Linked DNA regions of Cricetulus griseus. The protein of the gene in region 1 purifies or fractionates together with the protein of each later gene. This does not show direct contact. Links are inferred from orthologs where the notes say so. Each region holds a gene or a part of one and is shown in the gene's direction. Other genes may lie near its edges.

The links.
Region 2: the proteins of Stk38l (region 1) and Mob2 purify together in Homo sapiens (affinity purification with mass spectrometry; 9 studies listed by BioGRID and IntAct, counting the BioPlex papers as one, with this or other methods). This does not show direct contact. The link is inferred for Cricetulus griseus from reciprocal best matches to the Homo sapiens genes STK38L and MOB2.

The regions. Positions count from the first base shown.
Region 1 is NC_048601.1:2,943,491-2,947,309, reverse strand, and holds part of Stk38l (serine/threonine-protein kinase 38-like), read left to right. Parts: intron 1-517; coding exon 518-635; intron 636-1,030; coding exon 1,031-1,154; intron 1,155-2,571; coding exon 2,572-2,667; intron 2,668-3,819. UniProt on the Homo sapiens protein: Involved in the regulation of structural processes in differentiating and mature neuronal cells.
Region 2 is NC_048596.1:59,174,889-59,178,707, forward strand, and holds part of Mob2 (MOB kinase activator 2), read left to right. Parts: intron 1-2,555; coding exon 2,556-2,680; intron 2,681-3,340; coding exon 3,341-3,651; 3' UTR 3,652-3,819. UniProt on the Homo sapiens protein: Stimulates the autophosphorylation and kinase activity of STK38 and STK38L.

The DNA.
Region 1 (3,819 bases):
TGACGTCTTCTGTCCCACTTTTGGTGATTTCTACAATAGTGCCCCTGTTGAGAGCAGCTAATAATGGTTTTGTAGAATTTGATGTGGATCAAGGGGAAGGTGCACAGAGCCCCTGACGTAACTCGATGGAGTTACGTTCTAAGGAAGGCAGCCTGTGAGCGCGCTTTTTGTTGCGGCCTCAGATCAAGCTGCTGTAGGTTCTCCCACCTGGATCTTTGGTGAGCAGAAGCTGAGGCTCAGAGAGCAGCTCACATGAGTAGTGAGCAGAAGTCAGGGCCACTGGACGCAGCCTTTTCCTCCCTTTTGAAGTAGAAGAAGGGTCTCTCCTCAGCCCAGCATCCTGTGTTCTGTCCACAGTGCCTGACTCAGCACCTGTCAGTCAGCCTTACATGTGACACCCTGCCTTACATGTCACCAGTAAGGGGGTGCTTGTCCTGTGCTTCTTCCTGTACTAATCCACACTCAGATGTTGTCTGAGAGGTTCAGAATGCCAGTTTGACAGGATGCTGCTTTGTAGGCATATTCCACAGTCGGAACACCAGACTACATTGCTCCAGAAGTCTTCATGCAGACTGGCTACAACAAACTGTGTGACTGGTGGTCCTTGGGAGTGATCATGTATGAAATGCTAATAGGTGAGTCCTGTTTACATGCATGATACATACCTCTATTGGCAGATACTTCTATTGGTACATACCTCTATTGGCAGATACTTCTATTGGTACATACCTCTATTGGCGGATACTTCTGTGACAGACAAAAATAGCAGAGCCATTTTTAATCTATTCCCCACCTTCTTCTGCCCAGGATCCCTATGGCTTCCCTTATCGGATGCCATATGCAGGGTTCGGATAAGATGAGGTGGGGCTTTACATCCTTATGGACTTCATTAGTAGTTTTACAGTAAACCAACACCTATAAGAAACAGATGTCGCTACAGAACACTCAGGTTTTTTTCTCGTGGCGTGTACTTGTAGGTCTGGTTGAACTGATCACCAAAGCTGGTAATTTTTGTTTCCCTGACACCCAGGCTTCCCACCTTTCTGCTCTGAGACACCTCAGGAGACATATAGGAAAGTTATGAGCTGGAAGGAAACACTGGCATTCCCTCCAGAAGTGCCTGTCTCTGAGAAAGCCAAGGACTTGATTCTCAGGTTGGTGACTTAAAACTTCCCAGTGCCCACACGAGCTGTTTCTCTGAGGCAGGGCAGGTGTTTGGGGGCGGGGAGAGAATGCCGAGTGATCTGGTCAGTTTTAATAGAGGATTTACAAAATTCAAACTCTAAAAAGACTTTATTAATTTTTATGTTTAAGTGTGTTGGGTATTGCTCATGGAGGCTAGGAGATCCCTAGAGCTGGAGTTACAGGCAGTTGTGAGCCACCTAGTGTGGTTTCTGCGAATTGAACCCAGGTCCTCTGCAAGAGCTGCCAGTGCATTTAATTACCTACTTCTCCTTCCCTCCAAAACGCCAATGCTTACAAAGAAGTTTGTGGGAAAGCGGGGTTTAGATCAGAGAAGAGATCTTCTTGGACATACTGATATTTTTAGCAAAGGGTCACTTCTGTTAGACTTCAGGACTGGGTGTGTCAGAAACGAAAGGAGGGTAAATGTATTAGAAGCAGAAGCCCCTGCCATGAAAGTCACAGGCACCTAAGCAGAGGGCGGTGGGAGGAGGTGCTGCAGCACTCCTGTGAGGGGAGAAAGAGCTGTTGTAACGACTCTTTTTCTGTCCTCCAGCCAGCTCCCAAATAATGACACAGACTCCTCATTAATGAAAGCTCGGCCTGTAGCTCAGGCTTGTTCCTAACTAGTTCTTATCACTTAAACTAATCCATTTTTATTAATCTGTGTTTGTCCTGTGGTATTTACCTCTCTTCTTGTTTCCTCTCCGTGTCTCCTGGTTTCTTCTGCGTGTTTAGATCCTCCCCTCTTCCTCTCTCTCCCTGGGAGTCCCGCCTGTACCTCCTGCCTAGCCAATGGCCATTCTGCTCTTATTATGGCAGTCACAGCAATGTATCTTCACACAGTGAACAGACATCCCCAACAGGATATGAACTGTGACAAGCCTTGTCAGTGGACAGCTGGCAGCGTACTGTATAGAATTGTTAAACTATACATGGCCTTTGACCAGCAGTTCTATTTCTGGGAATTTAATAGAGCGTGTTACCATGTAGGAGCAAAAAGAGTTAGGCACATTTCTTGTGTTATTTTAGTTGTGAAAAATTGGAACTCACCTAAGTCTTCAGCAGCATCGATGGATGTAACACTACGATGTCTCCATACACAGGTCTCAAAAAATTACCTCACAGGAAAATACTGAACAGCGCTGCGAAGTTTTCTTAGTACATTAAGTGATAAAAGTCTTAAAGTAATCATGTCAGCCCTGTTTTAATTATTTCAAGCAATGAAAGAAGTGACTGCAGAATGTCTGTGGGTGATTGTACTTCTCCATGTTTCTCCTACCCCAGTGTACTCAATCACTAAATTAGAATGCTTCCTAGAAACACTTGAAGGGATACAATCAGAGTTGCAAGTGAAGTATGTGGCTGACGTCTGTTTTCCCTTCCTAGGTTTTGTACCGACTCTGAAAACAGAATTGGGAACGGTGGTGTAGAAGAGATCAAAGCCCACCCCTTCTTTGAGGGTGTAGACTGGGGCCACATCAGGTATGTTCTGAGGCCTGGGCTGACAAAGGGAGCTTCTGGATTGGTGGTTAATGTGCCTCTGATTCTTATAGACCCGAGGTTCTCAGCCTGTAGTTCATGACCCCTTTGCGGGGTTGAACGACCTTTTCACAGCAATCGCCTAAGACCATCAACAAACACATTCATAACAGCAGCAAAATTACCGTTTTGAAGTAGCAATAAAAATGGTTTTATGGGTGGGGTCACCACAGCGTGAGGAACTGCACTAAAGGGTCACAGCGACAGGAAGGTTGAAAACCACTGTTATAGACGAAATACAAGAGGCAGCTCTGCCTCATCTGAGACGTCATAGACTTGGTCTGCTGCTCTGCTTCCCTGTGTCTGTTACGGAAAGGTCGCAGAGCAGAGCCTGGCCTGTCTAAGCTCAGTGCTAGTTGGGGACAGAGGCCAAGGTTGTGGCTCTTTCCACCCAGTTGAGTCTTAACTAGACTTCCATAGTCATCGTGCCTGGGTCTAGAAAGTCTAGGTAAGACACCATGGACAAGATGTCAACAGTTCCTCAGGGGAAGATGAGAAATGTATGGTGTGTGCTCATGAAAGTCCTGGGCACACAGTGGGACCTCTAGTGAAGGCGCATATTACTCTTAGTTAAGACTAATTCTTGTATAGACACAGACAGTACGTGCTTTTTCATAGTGTGGTAGGCTTAGCACCCAGTAGATCCTTTAAAAATTTGTTGAAAAAAAGTAAATAAAAGCTGATAAAGGGCCTTTGAGGTGATTCAGCAGGGAAAGCCTGGAGACTCAGTTCAATCCCCAGTCCTGCGTGGTAGGAGGAGAGAGCCAACAGCTGAATGCTGTCCTCTGACCTCTACACTTGTGGGGTTTGTGTGTGTGTGTGTGTGTGTGTGTGTGTGTGTGAGAGAGAGAGAGAGAGAGAGAGAGAGAGAGAGAGAGAGAGAGAGTGAGTATAACTTAAGTTTTAAGTGTAATTTAAAAGTTTTAAGTGATGGTTTCTTTTAACTATTTCTATAGTTAAATGTATCTACTACCATAAGGCATTTTTTGTGGAGGTATTTTTTTTAACCTAACCTCTCTGGTTCTCTTAAAATTTATATGACTGACAAGTTTTTGCATTCGGATTTTATCACTGACATGTATGTGTGCCCTCTTT
Region 2 (3,819 bases), on another chromosome or scaffold:
AAAGAGATTTTTATGAACATATTCTTGTAGAACTAAGTCTGAGCCTCCCTGTGAGAAACACTCACCATCATCAGTCTGAACTGCCATAACCAAATGCCGGCAATGGAGGTTACTGAACAGCACTGGTATATCTTGTGGTTCTAAGAAGAGCTTCTTGGTTCATGAACAACAAACAGCTCTTTTTGAAAGGCATGAGTACTGGCCATGGGAGCTCTGCCACTCTGGCTTGATCACCCCCAGCTTGGACAGCATAGCAGAATTCTGTCTCTTATAAAACTTTAAACAGGGCTGAGGATATGGCTCAGTAGCAGAGCAATTGCTAGCATGCATAATGCTGAACTTCAGCATAAATTAGTCACTCACCAAATGAACACTCACTCAATCCAAATGTACACTTTGGCATATATAAGTTCTTCAATACTTATTAATGAATCCTCACTCCCAAGGTCATGGTATTAAGAACTAGGCTTCTGGAGGTGAGCCCCTGAAGGAGTCCAGCAATGAAATAAATACTGGAAGATCAGCACACAGAAACAGTCACAGGTCCGCATGCTAGCTGTGTATGATTGAAACCCTAACTAATCAGAACCATTTACAATAGTTCCAGAAGCAACAGAATGCTTAGGTATAAACTTAGCATTCAGAGGGCTCTGTTTCTGGAAACCACAGAAGGACAGCACATGAACAGCCCCACCGTGTTGGTGGATTGGAAGACAACAAGCTGAACGTACAGATCTACGCTGAACAAATTTGTGGTTTAGTGTATCCCCAATTAAAACTCCTCAGAGCTATTAGCTACTAGACTCGTGTGTTCTGGAATTTACACAGAAGTGGGTAGCTAGAGTTACTCACAACAGTGCAGCTGGAAGGGCCCACAGTTTGAAGATACACTGTTGTGACAGGGCAGTATAGTGTTGCCCAAAGGTGAGGCAAAAGTTAGTGGGGCAGAGCAGAATCCAGAAGGAAACTCAAGCACAGTCTTTGATTTCTGATGACTTGGCCATTGGAACTGAGTAGAGAAATCTGGAACATGAAACACTATGTTTTTACTTTGAAATTTTGTTTTGTTTCTCAATAACTGCTGCTGTGAAATGCAACTTTACACAGAGGAAAGGGAAAGTACCTCAACTTTAAGCCTCACACCTGATGCAGAAATGGGAAGACACAGGCTTTTATCTGACCTAGCATTAGGCTATCGGACATTATAGCAAAGGAGTGGCCCACTGATGAAGAGGACTCAGCCCATCACTTTATTATGATGATTCAGAACTTTTATTCTAAGAAAGACAACTATGAGGAGAAGCAACAAATACAGACTATGTGGAAACATCTGGGAGGCACCTGTTGCACAAGAACTAGTATCCAGGACATGCAGAGAACTCTCAGTGCAGCAGCATGCAAGTAGCAGTTTGATTGACAAGAATGGGGAAGGACTGGTTGCACAGTGACAGTATGGCAGTGAGCCACTAAGAAGATATTCAGCACTGGGGAGTTAAAGAAACACAAATGAAACCTACATGGGGTATTGCAGAACACTAGGTGCTGGGGAACACATGCCATACTGGTGGGGTGCAGGTGGCATAGCACATAGGATAACATTGACACATTCTCATGAAATGATGCAGACCTGCTGTGGCCATAATCCTGTTGTTGGCTTTTGCTTTAGAGACATGAAAACTTGTGTTTACACAGAACGCCCCTCCCCACCCCTACCATGGGAACATATGTAACAGTGTGGTCTATAATTGTCTCCAATTGGAAGGAAACACAAGCCCTCAGCAGGAGCTTAGAAGAGCATGCTGTGCCCTTGAATCCAGAGCACCTAGGTGGTGTGACATTCCCACAGCATGGCCAGATACCAGAGGCTTGTGAGAGGCCCATGTGAGTCCTTCATCCAAGCTTTCCCAAGGAGATGCCTAAGGGGGCAGCAGTCAGTGCACCAAGGGTAGCACCAGCTCCTCTTGGCAGAACACAGAGTAACTGTCATTCTGCACAAGGTTAAGACCCAGCAACTCAATATACTCAGTGTCTCCTCATCCCTGATGCTGGTCTTCTCAGAACTAGCAATCTTACGAGCATTGGCTACCCCATGCACAGGCTAAAGAGTTTGGGGTGGGTCTCCAGGGGTCAGGTCACTTTACTGCAAGTATCTATTCCCCATGGGGAAAGTGATTTCTAATTCTGGGAAAGGGCACCACCAACGGTCTAGGCTCTCTGACCAGTCTCAGGCCACCTCCTAGACAGATACCTGTGCCCAATTAATTTTAAGGAATTTATTTACAATAAATACAGATTTATTTAGAAGAAATGAAATCTGCAGAGCTAGGCAAAATGAAAGTGTCACATTGGGCTCCCTGTATTCTCGCTTCTGTACATGAAGCCCTTGCTCTCCTCAGATGCTATTCTGAGCACTCTGTGTGTCCTATTGGAATAGTTGTATTTAGCTTGCTTGCCTTATTCTATTGCCTTTGCGTTTGTGTTGTATGAGTGGGAGCCTGAACTGGGGCGGGTGTTTGGCAGGGTTGGCACCCTGACCAAAGTCTCTGTCCCTACAGACAATACTACTGGTATGACGAGCGGGGGAAGAAGGTCAAGTGCACTGCCCCCCAGTATGTTGACTTTGTCATGAGCTCTGTGCAGAAGCTGGTAACTGATGAAGATGTGTTCCCCACAAAATACGGTATGTCTCTTGCAGCTTGTACCTAAATCCTTATGTAAAGCCAGTAAGTTCTTCAGCGCTGGGCTAGAGAGTCTCTGGGGTATGATTGCAAGTGAGGTCTAGAAGGCCTACAACTTTGGAACTCTGGCTCCTGCTCAGCAAGGGGGACCTGGGCTAATGAGGGAGGGAAGTTCCCATACAGGATTCAGCCCAGCTAGAGTCAAATACCCACCTACACTCTGGGACCCACTACATGGCCCCACTCGGTCCCTGCTACCAGCTCTGCACAATGAGGCTATCACAGTCCATCTTGCTGTGGTTAGTATTTCCAGACCTGTCAAGGTCCTGATGGGGGCTCAGAACTCATCCTGAGCAGCAAAAGGCCAGCAGTGACCTACAGGGATTCCTGTGTACTTGTTACTCCTCCACTACCTGGTCTACAGATAGCCCTGGGGTGTCTGCTGGAGGAAGCATGGAACCTGTAGGCCCATTTGCTGCGCAGGTGACCAGCATGGCTCAGCCAGTGCCTATCACTCTGGGCACATGCCACTCTGAGGGACAGATTGCTGGGAACTCTGTGGAGGAGTGGTAACAGGTGTGAGCACTTCAGGTCCATCCAAGAAAGCCTAGTTGTAGGAGCTTGACCTCCTTACAGGTCTGTGACATGTGGCCTCCCCCTAGGCAGAGAATTCCCCAGCTCGTTCGAGTCCTTGGTGAAGAAGATCTGCAAGTATCTGTTTCATGTGTTGGGCCACATCTACTGGGCCCACTTCAAGGAGACGTTGGCCCTTGAGCTGCACGGACACTTGAACACACTGTACGTGCACTTCATCCTCTTCGCCAGAGAGTTCAACCTGCTCGACCCCAAAGAAACTGCAGTCATGGACGACCTCACTGAGGTGCTGTGCAGCAGCCCGGGTAGCAGTGGTGCCACTGGGGATGGGGCCAGCAGTGGAGCTTCTGGAGCACAGAACCATGTGAAGGAGAGATGAGCCTCCAGGGCCAGATGGGTGCACATGTGCAAAGAGACAACTGTGTGTCTGTGTGTGCGCACACATGCCCCGAGCGTGCTGGTGGCAAGGTCTGAGGGCCCTGGGCTGCGCAGAGTGTGGGCTCCATGGATGCCGCTGGAGTCAAGGCGTGTTTCCTGACTTCCCTGT